Drosophila melanogaster: one gene and its partners. The protein of the gene in region 2 interacts with the protein of the main gene of each other region in a pairwise test. Each region holds a gene or a part of one and is shown on either strand. Other genes may lie near its edges.

Region 1 (7,571 bases), on a different chromosome or scaffold from region 2:
CCACTCATGAAGTCAGTGGACTCCCTACTAATCGGCATCGAGACCGCCACGGAATCGGAGTCAGAGGGTGAGTTGGTTTAGCAATTTGAGGGGAATAATCTTTTCAAACTGATGCTGATGCCTTTCCAGACGAAAACTCTCTGCGCATGGACTGGGAGGCGGTGCCCAGCCTGACACCGCAGCCGGAGCTGGCGGATCCCAATCTGATGCCGGCGGCCAACCAGCAGTCTACCATCGCCTTCGTGCGAATGGCGGCCACATCGGTGCTGCGCTGGATCAAATGATCGCAGACCAACAGACGTCCGATCTTTCGGCTATATCATCATGAGACACGCGTGTTATCTTTTACAAATTAGACTAAGTAATCGTTTCTGTGACAGCACGTCGGTGTTTATCGGCAGTTGCTGGTTTTAGCGTTATCCTTTGGTTTACAGAACTAATTTTGTATCAATTATATATATACATATATATTCGCTGTGTGTAAAGAAAATGCGCCTTTTGGATTTATTTCTATTACATAACTTATTCGCCTTTATTTAATAAAAATGGTTCTCTATAAATAAATATATATAAATTTGCTTTATTAATGCTTGCATAGTACACTGACTTAGTAGGTAAACGACTCAATGAGAAACAATAATTAAACTGGTGCAATAATTGGAAAATCGGCAGACACAGCTGCGAATGAAACCTACCTAGAATCAGCACTAGAATCTTAGATTAGAATCGCAAGGGAACGAGCTGAGTGACCCTAGCTAAATGAACTTTGTGGGCAGTTGTTGCGTGGATGGGCGAGCAGCTCCAGTCGTGGTCACCACATCGCCGCCAGCGCTGGGCTGCGGCAGGCTGGGTTTAACGAATACTTGTGGCAGTGTGTTGGCAGAGGCTCCCACCTGGGCGGCGGACATGGAGACGGAGCCGTTGGCCAGCAGGTCGTAGCGCGGCGAGGCGTGGCTCATCGTGGAGAGCACGATGGCGGCGGCCATCGCCTCCTGGTTGTAAAAGGCCGTCACAGCAGCCGGAAGGGGCTGCTGTGCGGCCGATCCCGAATGTCATTGGCGCGTGGGCGTACTGGGCGCTGAGGATCCCATTCCTCCGCTTGCGCCCTTGACGCTGTTCGGCGAGAAAGCCGCTTGAATGAATTGCTTTTCCATTTCCTTCAGATTTGACATAGTTTTCATTATATGCGGATCGGTGAGATCGTACACTGGACCCAGCGTTCTTGGGCTATTGTAGATATACATGTTATTCGCGCTGTAGCCCAGGGATCCATTTACCTGCCCCACCGCACCCAAAGACGACCGACCTCTGTTCTGAGTCTTGTTCTTGGGCTTAGACTGGACTTTCTTTTGGGGCTTAGAGGCAGGAAAAACTCCCACAATCTCAACGCCATCCGACTCGCTGCTGCTTTCCCTGGCTACCGACGTCGTTTGCGCGGCCTTTGAGATGGCGGTGATGACAGTGGTGGTGGCAGCTAGCTGCTTGGACGTCTGAAGTATATCGCTGGTGCATTGATAGTCATCCAGGTTGATCACATGGGGAGAGGGCCGAGCTCCCACAATCACCTTGGCTTGGCCGTCTCCAGAATGCGGACTGGGATTCCCGCTGGCTGCCAGGGAGGCGGCCGTGATCAGATTGTAGAAATTGTTGCTGGTGTTAAGGTCAATTTTCCGGCTAGGGGATGCCAGATCCAGAACCGTACTGGCGGCTGCTACGGCGGCGGCATTGAGTGCTGCTGCCTGAGCCGAGGTGCTCGGCATGGAGAGCAGCGTGTCCAGGTGGGGCAGGTGGTTGTTGTTATTGCTAATGGCTGGTATACTGACGGCCGCCGTGGCAGCCGGCGCCAGCTGGAATTGCGGATGCGGAGTAAGTTGCGGTTGCAGCGGTACCTGCTTAGCCACCTTTTTCTTTGGCGGCTTGCTGGTCTGCTTGGGCATCTCCTTCAGCTTTCGCTTCAGACTGTTGGAGGAGGCACTTGTAGCTGAGTCCGTATCGGAGTTACCTCGAGATCGAGGGTCCTCCACTGCCTTTAGGTAGCTGCTTGCCGGCGGCATTTGCTCAGGAGCAGATACAACTCCAACGGGCTTGGGCGATGCGGACGCCGGCGGTGCCTTTGGCTTCTCCTTTGCTTTCAGCTTGGCGTTCTTGTAGCGTGTTATTTCCCTTTGCAACTCATCCAAACGCATCCAGCCTGGCGGCCACAGTTCCACCACCTTTTCCTTGAGATACCAATTGATGAACTCCTCCAACGATTCCTTGCGCTTGGCTAGGAAAGCGTAGGACGTCCAACGCGCTTGGTACACATCGTACAGCAGATGGCGTAGCTCGCTGGTCCACTGGAACTTCTTACGCGGCATTTTGGGCGGCAGTTCGGAGTTCACGTCCGCAGCTCTGAAAATAATAATCATAATCTAAAGGAACCTAATCGTTATTTCGCTTAACAACAATCTTACGCCTGTTCAGCAAATGTGCGCAGTTCCGTCTCATAGTTGGCCACCGCCTTAGGCATGACCACAGCTACAGCCCGCCGCAGCTTCTCCAGCATAATGGTGGACTTCCTCTTCTCCTCCTTCGCCCGCACTTGTTTCCCTTTGCGCAGCATGTAGTACTTGGGCAGTTGCAGCTGATACTCGATGTGGGAGAAGACCATGTTGCGCTCGTTGCGGTCCGTGCACAGCACCGCCTCGTACACCCTGGTGTAGGTTAATGGATATAAGCCTTAAATCTGTACTTGATGTTTACATCGGCTGCAAACTCACCGAAGCAGTAGTGGCGAAAGCTTCACATCCAGATTAAACTTCTTGCCGCACATGTCTCGACTCTTCACCGCTTCTTTGAAGCTGTTGACTGCGGTCACAATGTCCGCATCCAATGTGGTGGGGAGCAGAGTGTCGGCGGTGCGAAGATCTTAAAAATGAACACGTGAAAGGGTGATTTCAACCAACTAATACTGTATATGTAACTCACTTTCCTGCCCATCCTTGCCATGCTGACCGGCCTGCCTATCTGCCCGGCCGTGCTCAGACTCCATATCGCTGCTATCGCTGCTGGACACGTCGGTGGAAACACACTTCAGCTCGCCGTTGCCGACGCCCTTGACAGCTGCCGTGCCGCTCTGCGACTTCAGGAAGCTGTCTCGCTTGGCCTTTAGCATGTCCTTGACCGTTGTGGTCTTAACCACCTTCTTTAAAGCTTGCGCCTGGGCCTGACTCTGCGGCAGGGACTGAAGCTGACTTGATGGCTGAGTCTGGATAGGGTCTTGGCCGTCTTCCGTGTCCGAAATCTCCACCGTGCTGGGTCGTGGCGAGTTTGAGGATGAGGAAGTGGTGATCGGCTTAGTCGGCGGCTTCTTGCCACTCGTCAAAGAACTTGAGCTTGGTTTGGACTTGCCCGTAACGATGACCTTGGCCCGCTTAGCTTGATGATTGTCTTTGTACTTGCTGCTGGATTTGGCTGTAGCAGCAGAGTCCTCGTCCTCAAGACTTTCACTCTCGGAGTCGTCTTCGGAGTCGCTTTCATCGTTCTCCTCGGAGTCGTCCTCGGAATCGCTCTCGTCGTCCTCCTCATTGTTGCCATCATCGTTTTCGTCATCATCGCCCGAGGATGACGATGAGCTTTCCGAGCTGGACGAGACCATGCGCTTGCGTGATCGCTCTGGCATTTTGATGATGGCATCTGTTCGAGTGGTGTAGGACTTCTTGGTGAGGTTCTTGAACTCCAGTGCGCCACAGTTGATGTAGAAGCCGCCCTCCAGAGTTTCCGCCTCCTCCGGTATGATTTCGTCGTACTGGACAGAACATAGAGTTTAAGGTAAATAATTTCAGTGCATTCGTCGGAAATATTTCTTGTTCTTACGGCTTCCGTGTTGTCGATGAATGAGTCCGACTCATCGTAGCCCATTCCAATGTCCCGGTAGTCGTCCTTTTTGCTCTTCCCCCTGCCTGTGGCATAGGAGTTGCCATACTTGGCCTCCAGCTCCTTGACGATCCGTGCCACATCGTCATCGTTGTCGGCAAAGGGATCAGTGCTTGCGGAGCCATTGGTAGTGCTCACCTGCTTCAGCTTTTTGGTCTTTTTCTACGGATTGCAAGGGTTTAGAAAGCGATCCTCCAACTGAGTTATACACTCTTACCTTTTCCAAATACAAAAGCCGGGAGTAGTTAAACTCGGGATACTTGTTCGAATCGGTCTCGAACAGATCGAGTTTGATGCGGATGCACTTGGCAGTCTTTGTCGTGGGTTTGGAGCTGTTGTCGGGTGCAGCGGACGCAGCATCAGGCTCCAGGATGTTGCTGCCGAAGCGCGAGAAGCCCGCATCGCCCTGGATGATCGAGGTGAGGGTGACGCGCTTGTGCTCGCCCCCCTTTGACATTTCCGGCGGGCAGAGTTACGGATATTCAGTGGGATAGGGTTTCCTTTGAGCCGAAAGGGCCTTCCCGCCCTTTTTTTTCGAAAGAGCCGCGTGTTCTTCGTTGCTCTTTCCCTCTCTCTCTCTCGCAGCCAAACAAAAACAACAGAGACGTCGCTGCTGCTGATGCTCCTCCTCCTCCTTTTCCGCTGCTTCCTCTTCTTCTGGGGATGTCTGTTTTAGGTTTTCTGCACGTACACCAAGCAACCACAACCACTTAATAACCGTGGCAATTTCACTCTGAGCTGCACTTTCTTGTTGTCGCCCCACAAACACTGCTTTATCAACATAAACAAATGGCGAGGACCTGCGCCGGATTGCACTACTTTAATCGCCGCCCGCTTTGCAGCTGCATCCGCCGACCACGGCCACGAATAATTGTCACTTTTCTGGGGGAATGAAAAAGTGGAAACTTTTTGGGGGGTTTCAAATTGGTTGGCTTGCCGGCACGAAAACAACACAGTCTGTAAAAGCAGCGCACCGGGGATTAAACACACGCAATCGACGCTACCAAAGGGGACATTTAAACGATTCGACCAGGCGCTTTTCGCACGGCCAGGAGCGCGATTCTTAAATTGTTTCTTGTTAAAATCCTCAACGCTACATTCTCTCCGCTCCACCCCGCACCAAAGATCCGACCCTGCTTTTGGCTTTCGCACTCGCGTTGCGCAGCACTGGTCGCGGTTTTCGCAAATTACTCCGAGCCGTTCACACTGCGCGCAGCACAAGCCGAGACTTGCTGCGGCTGGCTGCATTTGGCAATATTTAGTTGTTATGGGTGCTATGTATTTCCAAAATTCCGTTAGTTAGAAATTCATTAGCTTGGCATCTAGCTCATTTTTAAAGTAAAGTTTCGAGCTACCAAGTTGATAGGTTACGTAAAATATATAGGTGGCTTATGCTGTTGTAAGCTTAATTGTTTAAAAAGGACCCAAAATCAAAATATAATGTAAACTTTTTTATAACTTACGCGGCTCTAAAACTTTCCAACAAGTAACGAGATCTGGCTTGAAAGCGGCCAACACTCGCACTAGCTTTTGTGCATCCCTGTGCAGTGCCACATTCCACACACATTTCTGCTTTGTTTTGACCAGAACGGGCCGTTGTGCAGCACTGTTCGGCACAGCTGTTCAGAGTATGGGGCCGCGGGTGGTGGGCAGATTTTCTTGGGGCGATTCAGTATTATTTCGATTGTGAAGGAGTTTACTTCGTAGAAAGTCAAGTGCTCGCCGTTTAATTAGCGCAAGTGCAAGTGAGTCGCAGTACGTGAGCTTGGGGGCTTAATTTCATGCGCCCGCTCCACAACAAAAACAAGCGAAACGAAAAGAGTTGCATGCACAGAAATTCGAATTCGGTCGAAACTGCAAGGTGTTATTATAACGGGAATGGCCAGTGCTCGTTATCGGGTGAAAACGATTAGGATTGTGCAATTAACAAAAGTGTGCCGTGCTGCTCTTTTCACAATCCAATCCAACCCAATCCCCAACTCCCCCACCCCCAATCCCCAAGTGGCACCACACAAACACTAGCACATAAACACTTATGCTGCCTTTATGCTTGCAGCCCCACTCGAGCTCTTTTATGTATGTATGTACATATTTATCCAACGAATGCAAGTGACCGACGTCCAAAGAGCAACGTACGGGATACGGAGCTCCGACAAAGGCTTCCCGCTTTCAGTGGTCCGGTGACTTTCGCCGGAGTAGTGACTCCGTCCCAGGAAACCAGCTAAACAAAAAGCCCCCAGCCGCTCGTAAAAAAGTGTCATGAGACAATAAAGGAACTTTAAGAAAGAAAGGAAAAGCGACGAGAAGAGTGGAGCTCCTTTGTTACATCTCTGGAAGAATCGTTCGGCTCCGAAGCAAAGGTGAGTAATACTGCTTCATTACGAAATTACGGGGCCTTGTACATTTGTAGTTCCAAAAAACAACAAGGGGAAATCGTTCATATGGGAAACAAGAGACTACCATTATAAGATAAGATCAGAACTGCGACTGCTTTCTTTTATCTCAAGTGACGTAGTCCAAGGTGAACACAGTAAACACTCGATGCAAGGACAACTTAGGTTTAAACCAGTTTTCTACACTACAAATTATGCAAATGGGTTAGATATCAAAACGAACACCCGTTTTCTTATCATGTCTACAAGTTTCTTTGCAAGAAAAAAAGGTTAGCTACTGAGAGTGTTGCCCGTAGCACTGCTTGAATGATAAACTCTACTCCCAGACATTGAAATTCCTACACCAAAATGGAGTTACGGCAATCGACCTTGAAACATGTGGCCCCAAATGCCTTGCCAACCCAAATTGGTTTCCCATTTTCTATGAAAACTTGTGTGTTTTTTTGGTAATTCATCTATTAAAGGCGGCAGCCAGTTTTTCATCTCAAATGGACAGAAGCCGCACACAAAAATAAAGCGATACACATAAACAATCAAACAACAGCAACAAGTGAGCGCACAAATTTAATTTGCTTTTTAATGCGTCATTATTGCCGATTTGCGACATGCTCGAGCTGCTTTACTGCTACCTCTTCGCAGATTTTCGCATCCCCAAGAGGTTCGTACAGTTGCGATCGCTATCGTTATCAGGGGAGCTCTTAAACCGAATGAGCGATACTTTATTTATTTCTGCTCTCTATTTGCTTTCATGATTAATTAAATGAGTCTGCTGTAGGAGAATGTATTAGCAATAATTATGGATAATTCACCAGCCCATCCAAAGCCATTCTTAAAGTTCATTTATCCAGTAGAAAACTTTGTTACAGAGCTAGGTTCATTGATCATTAAAAGGTTAAACAGTCTTATTCATAAACATAGGAAGAAATATTATTTAATTGTGGTTCAATCCAAAAGGGATCGTTGGCCGCCTGTCGTTGATATAATCAAACCGCACTTTGTCGCCGACAATTTCATTTACTCATCGTACTTTCCCCAACCAAACTAACAAATAAACTAGAACAAAAAGAGCCGCTGGTGGTTGGCTTCACCGCCAACACGACCACCCACTACAGATTCGGTTTTCCATTTTTAAAACAATGACGCATGCACGGAAATAAATTACATGATATACGCCTGACAATCTCATTACCTAGAGACGACGACCCATCGATAGTGGCTCTATGTATATACATACATAAAACACTCGGTTCTTCTTGGACTCTT
Region 2 (6,299 bases):
GCTCTAGGGGCTCTGGAGGCTCTGGAGGCCAGAAGAGACGAGAGGCTTAAAGACCTGGAAGGCCCAAAGGCCCAAATGGGCCGGCCCGAGCCGGGCCGTGTCTGGAAGTGCCAGGCACGCAAGCCACCTCAAACACACTCAGGCGCTTCATTTTTTTTTTTTTTTTTTTTTTACATGGCAGCAAGGACCAGGCTACCAGACTGGGCAACTACTTCTGGCCCCGGATCCGTATTTATATGCACATATATAAATATATATATATATATATATATATATATATAGGAATTTATAGTATAGTATATATCTGAATGGTTGTGGGGCCCACACTATATTTATTGCACTGCGCTAGTCAGTTCATAAATTGTTGCGGCTCGTTGGCTCTGCCCGGCCAATAAAAGAAATTGCCTGGATTTATGGCCCGGAGGAGAGTCGAAAGTAGAAGTTGCCTCATTTTGGGGCTGTGCAAAATGAAAAACTTTTTAATGGCAATTGCCAATTTTTTCGTTGGTTTTTTTTTTCTCCTTTTGCTCTCGGTGGGCGTAACTGTGGCCAGCCACGCCCAATCCCAGAAAAAGCTGGTAAATCGAACGCCAAAGTTATCCCAAGAACATCGGACTCGATCTTGGGTGGCAGTTGGGTTAGCCAAGAAACATGTGGCAAGAGAACCTTCTCGGTCTCATATCTTGACTTGACTGACAACGAAACTCGTTAAGGACGAAATCGTAGCTAGCCTTGACCTTTTTTACTCTTAGGATGAATCATATGTATCTTAAGCTGAAGAGTGTTAGGTGAAGTATTGTAAATTCAAGTTACGAAATACATTTTACATGTCAGACCGGCAGCCTTGGCAAGGGTAACCCATAAATTCTGATAGGTATCCTAGTTGCGGTTGTCGAAGGGAGTGAGGGATCCTGCCACATGTCCTGACCGATCAAGCATGATCCGCATCCCATAAACACTCAATATGCATTTGAAATTGACCGGAAGAAGGGGCGGCGGCGTTACCAACCCCCGCTTAACCCACTTAACCCCTTAACCCGAACCCCGGACCAGGTAATTGCTCTCTAGCATTTGGCCATGGGCATGAACATAGGCACGGGAATGGTAATGGTAATGGTAATGGGAATGGGAATGGGAATGGGCATGGGCATGGGCATGGGTACGTCAAACACCTGATCCCCGGGATGCAATGATGCATGTAAAAGGTGTAGAAAAGCCGGAAGGACCCCGACTTGCACCTCCAACCCCCGCAATTAATAATTATTGTGAGCAGTGGAAATTTCATGGGCAATTGCCAGGGCGAAACGATTAAGGATTGGAAGGAGGGTATTCGGGTCGCGTGGGCAAGCAAAGTTCCGTAAATTGCCATTGGAAAACGTGGGTTTTGATGGCTGAAAGGTCCTGCGCAGGCGCCATTTTCGCCTTGACTGCGCGAGGACACGGCCCTGGAACTCGAACGCCGATGAAACAGGAGAAATAACCCATCCTGCTCCACCCTGCGAAAACCCAAAACCAAAACCAAAATCGAAAAAAAAGCCCTAAAGCCCAAAGCCGAAAACCCCCTGTTTGCCAACCCACCAGCCAACTGGGGGCCGCAAGGTAAATTTGTGAATGGTTAATGAAAAGTTACCCAAACTGCACGCCCATTCGAACTGAGCCGAAACTTCTTGGACTGTCGATTCATTACATTAAATGCGGGGGGGTGGTGAGGAGTGCAGGTGCGCAGGTGATGGGCAAATGTCATAAATTATTTGCCTCCCCCTCCCGAGCGGGGTGGTTTTATATGTAAATTTATATAGGATATTTACACGCAACATTCGCGGCTGCGGCATCAAATATTTACACTGATTCCGGGTATTCGAAGACAACAAAAGAAATGAATAACAAAAAACAGGTGGGGAGCAGTGGGGGCGAAAGGCCAAATTGATGAACCTTGAAAAATGTGTTAAAACTTATTGTTTTCTTCGTCAGCGATTCTTGACGAATTGATATTTTCGAACTCAGCGTGGTAAAAATGGAATTTTGAAAATTTTAACGTTTTGCGAAAAGTAGGTAATGATTAACTAGTTTTGAATACTATTGAATGATTAACTAATACGGAATGAGCCGTATTAAGCACTTATCACCATAAAACTAAGAATTTGGTATACTCAACAATTGCCACTAAACAATCCAAAAGCCAAAATTAATGGGTCGCTATCCGTATAAGCTGATAATACCAGGGAATACCAGTTTGGCATAAACAACTTGTTGAACAACCCGCAAATAGTTTGGTTAACAACATTTTTGTTTTTCACCTTATGCGAGCGAAGGCAAGGTAAATGCAATTTTCTAGCCCATAAATCTGTTTGAGCTGCTAACTTTTGGCACTTTCATTGTGGCCGCTATCGTTTGTTTGCCGGTGTGTGGCACTTTGTTTAAGTTTGGTTACCAACCAAGGAACGAAAACATGGTAAGAAGAAATACCCAGCGAACGAGGAAATCAAATGGCCAACGGGAATGGCCAAAACGAAATGCTTGAGATTTGTTTAATTGCATCCTGGCTGGCGTTTTTTGCCATCAAAAAAAATAACAGGATGGCTAGCACTCCACAAAATGGCGTCCATCCGAATGGGCGGTGGGCGGTGGGCGGTGGTGGTTGATTCAGTGGGTGGTTCGATGGGGGACAGTACTTACGATATCCATTGGTATATGCCCGACACAGTCAGCTCACCCTTATCCTCGAGGGCGTATTCGATGAGCTCCGTGTAGGTGAACGGTGGTTTCTTTGGCCTGCTTGTTTTGCGGTGGTTGGTTTTGGATTTCAGCCACATTGGTGGGTGGTTCGGTGGTTTAGTGGATCGGCGATTGCGTGGTTGGGGAAATTCGTTGGCGGCATCGATTGGAGGACGGCATTGAAAGCAAATGGAGAACGCACAAATCAGAGAAAAAGATTGTTAAATATATTAAAACAAAAGAGAGAATGCTATAGTCGAGTTACCCGACTATCAGATACCCGTTACTCAGCTAGTGTGAATGCGAACGCGAAATTTAATCATCTTTCTGGGATGTCGATAGATATTGGGGAATAAAATGAGAAAAAAATTTAAAAATTGATCCTGATCAACAAATTTTATATATACTTCAACGAATCTAGTATACCCTTTTCCTCTATGAGTAACGGGAATAAATAGATGTTTCAAATAAATTAGGAAATATAGAATTTAACCGTTGACACTGTCATATTGTTTTATTTCTGCAACACTTACGCCTTGGACGAAGTATCCTCGACGACAACGTGCTCGGCAACTATCATGTCGTTACCGTCCAACTCCGAGGTGACCTCCATCACCAGCTCCTCGAACTTGCGCCCAGTCTTGGTGGAGCCCACGCCGGCCACGCCCCCCGCTGCTGAAGCGCCAGCGGAGCCGTTGCCTCCTCCTCCTAATGCCGCTGGCATCGCTGCACTGGAGCAACTCTTGGGCGATCTGGCCCGTTGATCCACCAAACCCGATCCGAGAGATTGATTTGTGCTTATGGCGGATGCGGATGCCGATGCGGCGGAGGCGGATGATGGCGAGGAGGAACTGCAGGGCGACGTGGCGATCGGCACTGCCGTCGATGGTGGATGAGGTGGAGCACTGCCCTCCGGCAGATTGACCGCCTGTCCGTGAATCTGATTGTGCGGCGATAGGTGCGGGAACTCGTCGAACTTAAAGTTGAGCAGCCACGAGAGGTTCTTATCCTCGAAGTCCGCCTCGGTGGCTTCATTGGCCCCACTAACCGAACCGGATGAGGTGCGTCGGCCCGCCGACTGTATCCGCTGCTTCTGCGGCACCAGAAAATGTTGATTCTGATGTGGGTTCTGACCAGGACTGACATTCTGTTGTGTTGACTGCTGCGTATGATTGGATGCATTTTGAGCTGATGATGATGTTGGTGGTGGCGGCGGCAAAGTGGCATTCAATTGCCCCAGTTCCGCCTGCAGGCCGGAGTTATAACGATGATCCAGCTCCAGCAGCTCGCCACCGGTCCAACCACCATTGTCATCCAATGGAGCACTCGATGGTGGACAGTGCGAATAGGCGACGGCGGGCACCAGAAGACTGCTCTCATAGGAAAAGAGATCGTTGATGAAGGACGTCGAGGATTGGGCGGGTGCAGCGTTGGTTGGCGGATTACTAGGTGGCTGTTCCAGCTGCAGGTGGAAGTGCAGGTCCCCGGCATCGTAGTCCAAGTGTCGCTTCTTCCAGGGATTTGCCCCGATGGGCTCGTAGTCGTGGCCCAAAGCCAAATCCTCCTGATCGTCGAACTTGCGCTTAAGAAAGTTGTAATCACCGGGAAGATTAGTGTTCGTATCATTTTGATTGGTGGTACTGCTATTGTTGTTGTTGTTGCTGCTGGGATTCGATGTTGGGCTGGATGCACTGCCCGTTCCATTGACGGGCATGTTGACAATCATGATGTCCCGGCTGTCTCGATTTCAATCACGTTAGCCAAGCCAAAACACACAACTCACACTTGGCGAAAAAGAGCAAGTAACACGAAAAAAAAATTGACCTGCTTCGTCTGGGGGACGGACGAAGGATATTTCTTTCTTTATTTCTCAATCTTTAGTTTAGTCAAGAGCGGAAATTGGGAATTAGTCGGTCCGCACTGGCTAACTGGCTAACCGTCTCGCGCTGCGACTGGCCACGGAATGCGATGGGCCGCCAGGAGTCCAGACCAACTTGGCTGTTGGGCTGAGCTGCGCCTGCGCCCTCCTGCCACTCATCCACATTCACATCCACCACCCCGGACACCCAGTCATGCACATAAGCGGTACGTCTGCAGTCGATGGAAAGAGGAGCCGTACCTGTGATGGCGCAGGTACAATAAAATAATGCAGACACTTCACTGTATTATATTTGACATATTCGTTGATATATGTTTCAACCATATCACCTGCTTATAAATATATATTTATAATTTATATATAAATATGAAAAATATCAAAGCAAAGAAAGCTGTCATAGCTTCTAAATAATCAGTCGTGTACGCTGTACCAAGCTGAGTTTAAAAAGCAATCAAGTACCTCTAGGTACAACCACCCAGGTCTTGGCATCGCTGAGCCCAGGTCATGTGCCGCTGGTTCTGCTTGGTCGCTCGATTTGGCCATAATCGAACATGTGCGCCAAGCTGTCCGTTAGCCAATTTCGCGCTGACATGGGGCGGGGTGCGGTAGATAGGTTCTGGATCCAGGGTGCAGGGTGCAGCCATTGAAGCGTCTAATCGACGCTTTCATACACCATGCGTACCCAATGTACTTCATACAAAGTGAGCAACCCACACAGGTGATGCGCCGGATAGTTTAAGGGACTACGGCTCCATCTGTTCAACCCGCTCGAAAAAAAAGCAAAAGTATCTCCCCTTTTACCCGTTTACCAAAAAATATGGACATTAGCAATTCGGGTTCTTGTTGATTCGTTTATTTATTTCCATTGATCACTGGTTGAATGAGTGTGTGAATGAGTGTGTGAATGAGTGTGTGAATGAATGGGCGATTGCTTTCATGTTGGGGGGCTAAATGCATTTGCATACAATATGATTTAAATCCTACTCAGTACAATTTTGTTTGACCAAATGATGCGATTAGTTTTATCCGTTTCTTCGTTCTCGGTAATTTAGGCTAATATTATTGAACATATATATATTTTTTATTTTCTTTTGGTTGTTTCTCGAGCTTTAGTTCAACTAGATCGATCGGCACCCTTGAATCTGACTTGACGTCTAAACATTCATGTTTTGTTCGTTACAGGACAATCTTTTGATTTACCTGTGAACTGCAAATGTGAAGTTTTTAAGCATATTCTAGCTCCTTTGTATAGTTTCATTTGCCACTTTAATGGCCGCAAGTATGCTTTTCAATAATATGTGAAGAAGCGTCTCCAGCATCTCCAACATCTCTTTCTTCTCGATTTAAATAAATGTTGCTTATTCTTCTGACTGCTTGTAGTATTTTGAATATTTGAATTTTCTCCATTGTCGCCCGTTCTTTTACGTGTTGGTTAAGTTAAAGCTTAGGAAATGTTTGTTTTTTCCCAGCTGCAAAAATGTGTAAGGCAGTTGCTTTCCCTTTTGTTTTTCGTGTAGTCCATCTTCTTCCCCGCACTCTGTTGCTTTCTCTTTCTTTGTTGTTTTGTAATCTCGCTCGATTTCGTGTAATTGTTTGTTAACTTCTTTTTATCGACGCATGTTTCAGTCTTACTACTGCCCCATTTCTAAACCTTAGTCCAAACCGTCATCGACGAAGTCGGCGGAATCCTTTTTAGGCTTAGGCT
Region 3 (5,548 bases), on a different chromosome or scaffold from region 2:
ACTAGTCATACACTTTATCAGTTGTTTTTGGTTTTTCTCCCTTTAAGTGTGCTTTTTGTGTTCTCAAAACAATTTAGTTATTCAGAGTACTGTATACAACTAATGTTTAAGACAACCAAGAAAAGTTGAAGTATCTAAGCGGTAGAAAGATATATACATAAGTTTATATATATATACGAATGCACAGTACAGCTGTTAAGTAGCACTTTTCCATTTTTCTATAGTTAACAAACCATTTAAGGTCATTACTATATATCCAATATATATTTTCCAACAATTTCCCCCCCTTTTTTCCTCAAGTTTTTCACCTCACCTGAGCTGGCTGGCTGAAATCGCGCTTTCAAGCTGTTCAAATGGTTGTGATGCTCATTGGCGATCACTGCCGCTGCGACGGCATTTGCCACATGTTGCACGGAGGACACATTGTTGTTGCTGTTATTGTTGCTATTGCCACTATTGTTGCCGTTATTGTTGTTGTTATTCTGGCCGGGATTTCCACCATTTCCATTACCAGTTGCCGCCACAACAGCATTACCATTGCCACTGGCATTCCCATTCGATCCCTGGTTGCCACTTGCAACTGCAGCGGCTGCCGCAACAGCGGCAGCATTGCAACTGGCAGCAGCAGCTGCTGCAGCTGCAGCGGCATTACTCTGCGGATCCATGAAGGAGTTGCGCTGGTAATGGGGATTCTCCTGGTAAATCCTCTGGTACGTTAGCGTGGGCAGCGTCCACGAGTTGTTCGTCTTGTAGTGGAAGTTGCCGGTGCCGAAAATGGAGTGGGGGTTGGTGTTGCCACCGGTATTCCCGGCTGCAGCAGCAACGGCGGCCGATGACAGTGTATGTGCCAGCTGGGCGGCATGATGCTGCTGCTGCTGCTGCTGTGCGTGCTGCTGTTGCTGCTGCTGGTGGTGTTGCGGCGGCGGCTGCTGCTGCTGTTGTTGTTGTTGTTGCTGCTGGTGTGTATGATGCGGATGCAACGGGTGGCCGTGATGTTGCTGCTGATGCTGATGCTGGGAGTGCTGCTGTTGCTGCTGCTGCTGCTGCTGCAGGACATGCTGATGGTGCGCTTGATGGTGTTGCTGTAGGTGCTGTTGGTGTTGCTGCTGCTGTTGATGCTGCTGCTGTTGCTGATGGTGCAGGGCGGCGGTTTGTTGCTGCTGCTGCAAGGCCCAGGCATTCACGCCATTGTTGCTGGTGGCACCTGCCCCGCCGCCTCCTGTGGCGCTACTCTTGCCCGAATCATTGCTGCTAACACTGCTGCGATGGTTGTCCATGGTTCCCGATGATCCTGTCATGCTGCCATCATTTCCGCTGTCGCTGTTGCCGCTGCTGCTGTTGTTGCCGCTGCTGTTGTTGTTGTTGCTGCTGCTGCTGTTGCCACCGCTATTGCCCGCCGCTGCAGCAGCAACGTGCGAGTTAAGCTGCTGGAAATACTGCGACAATGTGGCATTCGCGTGCTCCTGGGCAAAGAAACTAGTACACGAATTCGTATCCGACGACATGATCACTGGTTTCAACAACTGGGTACGTTATTCACTGGGTTATCCTTCACTGGTTACGGTTAATCACTGTTTTCTGATGATCCTAGGTGATCACCTCCTTGTGCTGAACGTGATTAAATTTGCTGGTCAGCAGTATAAACTTTGGGCCACGGCCAAAAGTTGTGCGCATTGTCTTTACACTTGGGTTCACTTTAGTTTTTTTGTTTTTAACATAAACGCTTGTCTGTGTTATCTGAAAAAAATATTGTGCTTTTGTTTTTGAAAAACCCAGATTAGTGTTTGAGCACTTTGGTATGTTGCTGGTTTTTTATTTGCCAGTCAATTGATAGCCAATTCGTTGTTGCTAATGAACAGGTGATAGGTGGGTGAAAAATGTTGGGAATGATTCAGTTTTTCAGTTTTATTAGTGAGTATTGAGTATGATGGGGAAGCGATTTTGATAGCAACTGATAATGAATGCGCTTGTTTTCGTGTGGTCAGGGAATGCACTTTGTTTTCGTCTATTTTTGTATGATTTTTATTTAGTTTTCCATTAGTTTTTATTGATGATCATGATGATAAGGAATAAGAAAAGGCATTGTATAGTTGTATAGTTTGCGCTTTCTTTTAGTTCAATCAATTTTGTATAATAAGATTTTTGTGACGCTATAGAAATCTTAAAGTGGAATCAATAGGTACAAAGGCTTTCCGTGTTCTTTATGGAATTTTTGCAATCAAAACATTCACGGTCATTTATTGTTTTTGCTTCACTTTTAAAACGAGACAAACTAATAATTATTTGCCAATTAAACTGTATATCAAATCAACCGAGTCAAAGGCTTCCAATGTTTTTTTTTTTTTAACATTATTTCAACGTAAATTTGGAATATTTTCTATATATAAATCAAAACAAATAAATTATTATTTTCCAAATCAATTGAATTATCCTTTTCATTGATGAATAACTCTTCTTCCTTTCAGCCTTTTGTTGAATACCTTTTCTTATTCTCAGAATTTGTTGCTGCGCTTGGATATGAGATCGTTTTTTGCTTTGAGTTTTGCTGGTTCGTATTTTTCTTTTTGAAGTTTGTTGTTTTGTAGAAAAATTAAAAGTAAATTAAACTGTTTGAAATTAGATCCGTAACTTTAGCGCTGTTGTTTAAAGATTCTCGAGAGATCTCCGGATCTCTCGCTTTTTTCTCTATCTCTCTCTTTCACTCTGCCTCGTTCGATCTCTCTCTCTCTTTCTGCGTATTTATTTCTTTTTTAATAATAGTAATTATTCGAATGACACACACACACACACTTTAGATTGATTTCACAATGAACCCATTGCACTTGAAATTTGATAAAACAAAAATGACTTCCTCGATTTATAGTTCTTCTAGAACTATTTCTGTTGCTTGAAAAATCAATTTCAATTAATTTATTTTGTTGAGCGTAGAAATATTTTTTGATTTTCCCGCTCGAGTGGCGAAAACACGGAACGAGCTGCGACGATTTTCACATGAGAACGCGATGCGACAGAATGCCGGCCGAGTAATTTTCTCGGTCTCAATGTCCGTCTCTGCTTTTCCTCTGCCGCCGCTGCAGTCGTCGCTGCAGTCGACGTCGCAGTCGCCGCTACCGCTCTCTCAGCCAGCTAAAAATTGCAATTTTCTGCAAGTAAGTCGGCTTACGTAAAGGGCGGAGGTCCGAAAACAGTAACCCCTCTCCTACTTTGATAATTGTTTAACTGGCTTTTTTTTATCAAATGTTGGTAGCGCAAAATATTTGTACATGTACAACAAATATTTTTACATACAGCACTGGGAAAATGATTAGCATTACTACTATATTAATCAATTCAAGTGCCATAGGTATTTTTAGTACAGTTCTTGGTATATATTAAACAGTGTTCATATACGAGTACTTCGACTCAGATTTAGTATCAAATCTATTATAAATTATAATTCACTTAGGACTAAACCTATGTTATCTTCTTATATCTAATTATCTATCAAGAACTTAATAATATTTTTTTTTAAAGCAACTTTGTTTTATCTCAGTTATTTCAACATTACTTATAATATTCTAGTAACAAAATTTATTATTTTAAAACATTTTTTTCTTGCTCTTAAATGATTGCTATTATCTTGGACATAGCTGTAGTTATTTGTATATACTTGGGGGACTGGAACTGCGACGCCCGCTGAGGCGCTGAGCGCTGCTGCGGCCAAGTCACGCGGATTTCAATATGACCCAAAGCCCACTGTCTAGCACAGTTCTAAGCACGTGTTGCGGACACACCGGGCACACACACATACGCAAATTAATTGAGAGAGAGCGACAGAGAGAATGAGAGTGCACGTTGAACGACAAGCGCACTCAAAGATACACGTACCGATAGGGTGACAAATAGAGATACGAATGCAACTCAAAAGTTTCCAGTCGATTCGCAATAGAGCGCTATGTCTGTCCCCCTGTAACGGGTGTACCTATGGCCACTAGACTTTACACATCAGCTGGAGTGCGTGGCCGATTGGCCAATTGCCGTGCCAATATTCGGTTAATTCGGCACTGGTGCGTCTGCAACACGTGACGTATGCGTAATGTGCTCCAAAGGATTGCCTCTGTGCCACCAACTAATTACCGCTGCGTCATTCCCAGTAAGTAGATCCGATGGGGCAGAGTGGTGGGGGGGGGGGGTCTGAAGCTGAGTGCTTAACACTCTGGGCGAAAACCCAATGAAACGACGTAGTAGCTGCAACGGAGCGTATACTTAATCTGCATTCTATCGAAGGCGCTAAACTATTGCCGTAGGTCGCCGTTTTTCTTGGAAATTTCAAAAAGTATTCAAACTATTCGAGGGCTTAATCAAGTTTAAATAATTATAATAATTGCTCTCTGTTGGCATAGGTCCGGTAAATTTTCTTAGAAGTTTTGTATAATACACTCAATACTTACCCAATGATCATCGAAGATTTTATAACTATGAATCAGAGCAGTAAGCAATTTGAGATAAAATATAAAAACACATTTCTGATAAAAATGCAAATAAACTGAATTACAATTACATGGATTATTTAAGAAATATATAAATAAAGAAATATATAAAATAAATAAAATATATAAGACTTATTCAATTTGTAAGGTTCCATCTTTCGTTAAACCAATTCAAAAGAATTCCAAGAATATCCTCGCCATTTTTCTACTTGTTAAACTTGTTAAGTCGCCCACCTTTTTTCAGCCTTGTGCTATTCTTCGGTTAAACAAAACTCTTTTTTTTTTGCATTTGAGAAACCCAGTCAGCCCTGAAAACCCATCAATTGGCATAACCATGGACCATGTGGTAGAGCGAACTTCAGTCACCTGTTTTACCCAGGCGGGTCAATTCTGGGAATATCGAGTATACGCCCCGTGCAGCCAGTGACTATTTTTGGAAAGCAACAAGTCATCCGAAGCTCCGAAGCGAAGGAAAAAACGAAGTTTGCTTCGGGATCCAATAACAGAAGGATGTGCGGCAGAGCTTTGCTATTGGCCAGGCTTATATGCCAGTGAAGCCGAGAATAGGGAACCAATCCGGGAAAATCTGCCAACGTCGACATGGACAGAGAACGACGTCGACCGCGACGACAGCAGAGGCAGCGACAGCGGCGTTGTCAGGTTTTCTGTTTGTTTTGTTGTCAGTTGTTGTATTTCGTATTATCACGTTTCGCTACCACGTGCACCGGCGGTCTCCCCTTGCCAGTGTGTGTATCTGTGTGATTGGGCTACTGCCTCACACACACTTGGTACAATCAAAAACACACACCGACACACACCAGTGCAGCGCACTCACATAGATACGCCGTGGCGCTACGATGGATGAATGAGCCCTCAGAGAGCGCCAGAAATTGCTAAGCAAAACCCAACTGAGTCGAAGACACAGCTCTTGCTGGTTTATAAATAGCAATTTAAAGCATCGCACACACATTCACACATCGAATCAATGAGTCACACACACACTAGCATGGCTTTATTTTGCATCCGAAGAACAAAAAATACAAGTAGGAGAAGCAAAACACAGACTGCATAGATGTGCA

What was found. The genes of interacting proteins can lie anywhere in the genome.
Region 1: the proteins of fd3F (region 2) and yem interact in a two-hybrid assay, tested with the Drosophila melanogaster proteins (one large-scale study listed by BioGRID).
Region 3: the proteins of fd3F (region 2) and Pdp1 interact in a two-hybrid assay, tested with the Drosophila melanogaster proteins (one large-scale study listed by BioGRID).

The regions. Positions count from the first base shown.
Region 1 is NT_033777.3:29,117,830-29,125,400, forward strand, and holds yem (yemanuclein), read right to left. Parts: upstream 5,051-7,571; 5' UTR 4,373-5,050; coding exon 4,133-4,372; intron 4,078-4,132; coding exon 3,856-4,077; intron 3,788-3,855; coding exon 2,968-3,787; intron 2,908-2,967; coding exon 2,760-2,907; intron 2,694-2,759; coding exon 2,454-2,693; intron 2,392-2,453; coding exon 1,053-2,391; coding exon of another isoform or gene 756-1,052; 3' UTR 501-755; downstream 1-500. Other genes in the region: Atg14 (Autophagy-related 14), read left to right, coding at 1-67, 130-284. UniProt on the Drosophila melanogaster protein: May play a key role in egg organization. May be a transcriptional regulator having a role in chromatin remodeling in concert with Hira, a histone chaperone. Involved in chromosome segregation by affecting kinetochores function in the first meiotic division.
Region 2 is NC_004354.4:3,800,699-3,806,997, reverse strand, and holds the start of fd3F (forkhead domain 3F), read right to left. Parts: upstream 4,683-6,299; 5' UTR 4,442-4,682; coding exon 3,249-4,441; intron 2,773-3,248; coding exon 2,677-2,772; intron 1-2,676. Other genes in the region: HIP (Hsc/Hsp70-interacting protein), read right to left, coding at 6,247-6,299.
Region 3 is NT_037436.4:7,830,074-7,835,621, forward strand, and holds the start of Pdp1 (PAR-domain protein 1), read right to left. Parts: upstream 3,001-5,548; 5' UTR 2,481-3,000; intron 1,755-2,480; 5' UTR 1,506-1,754; coding exon 314-1,505; intron 1-313.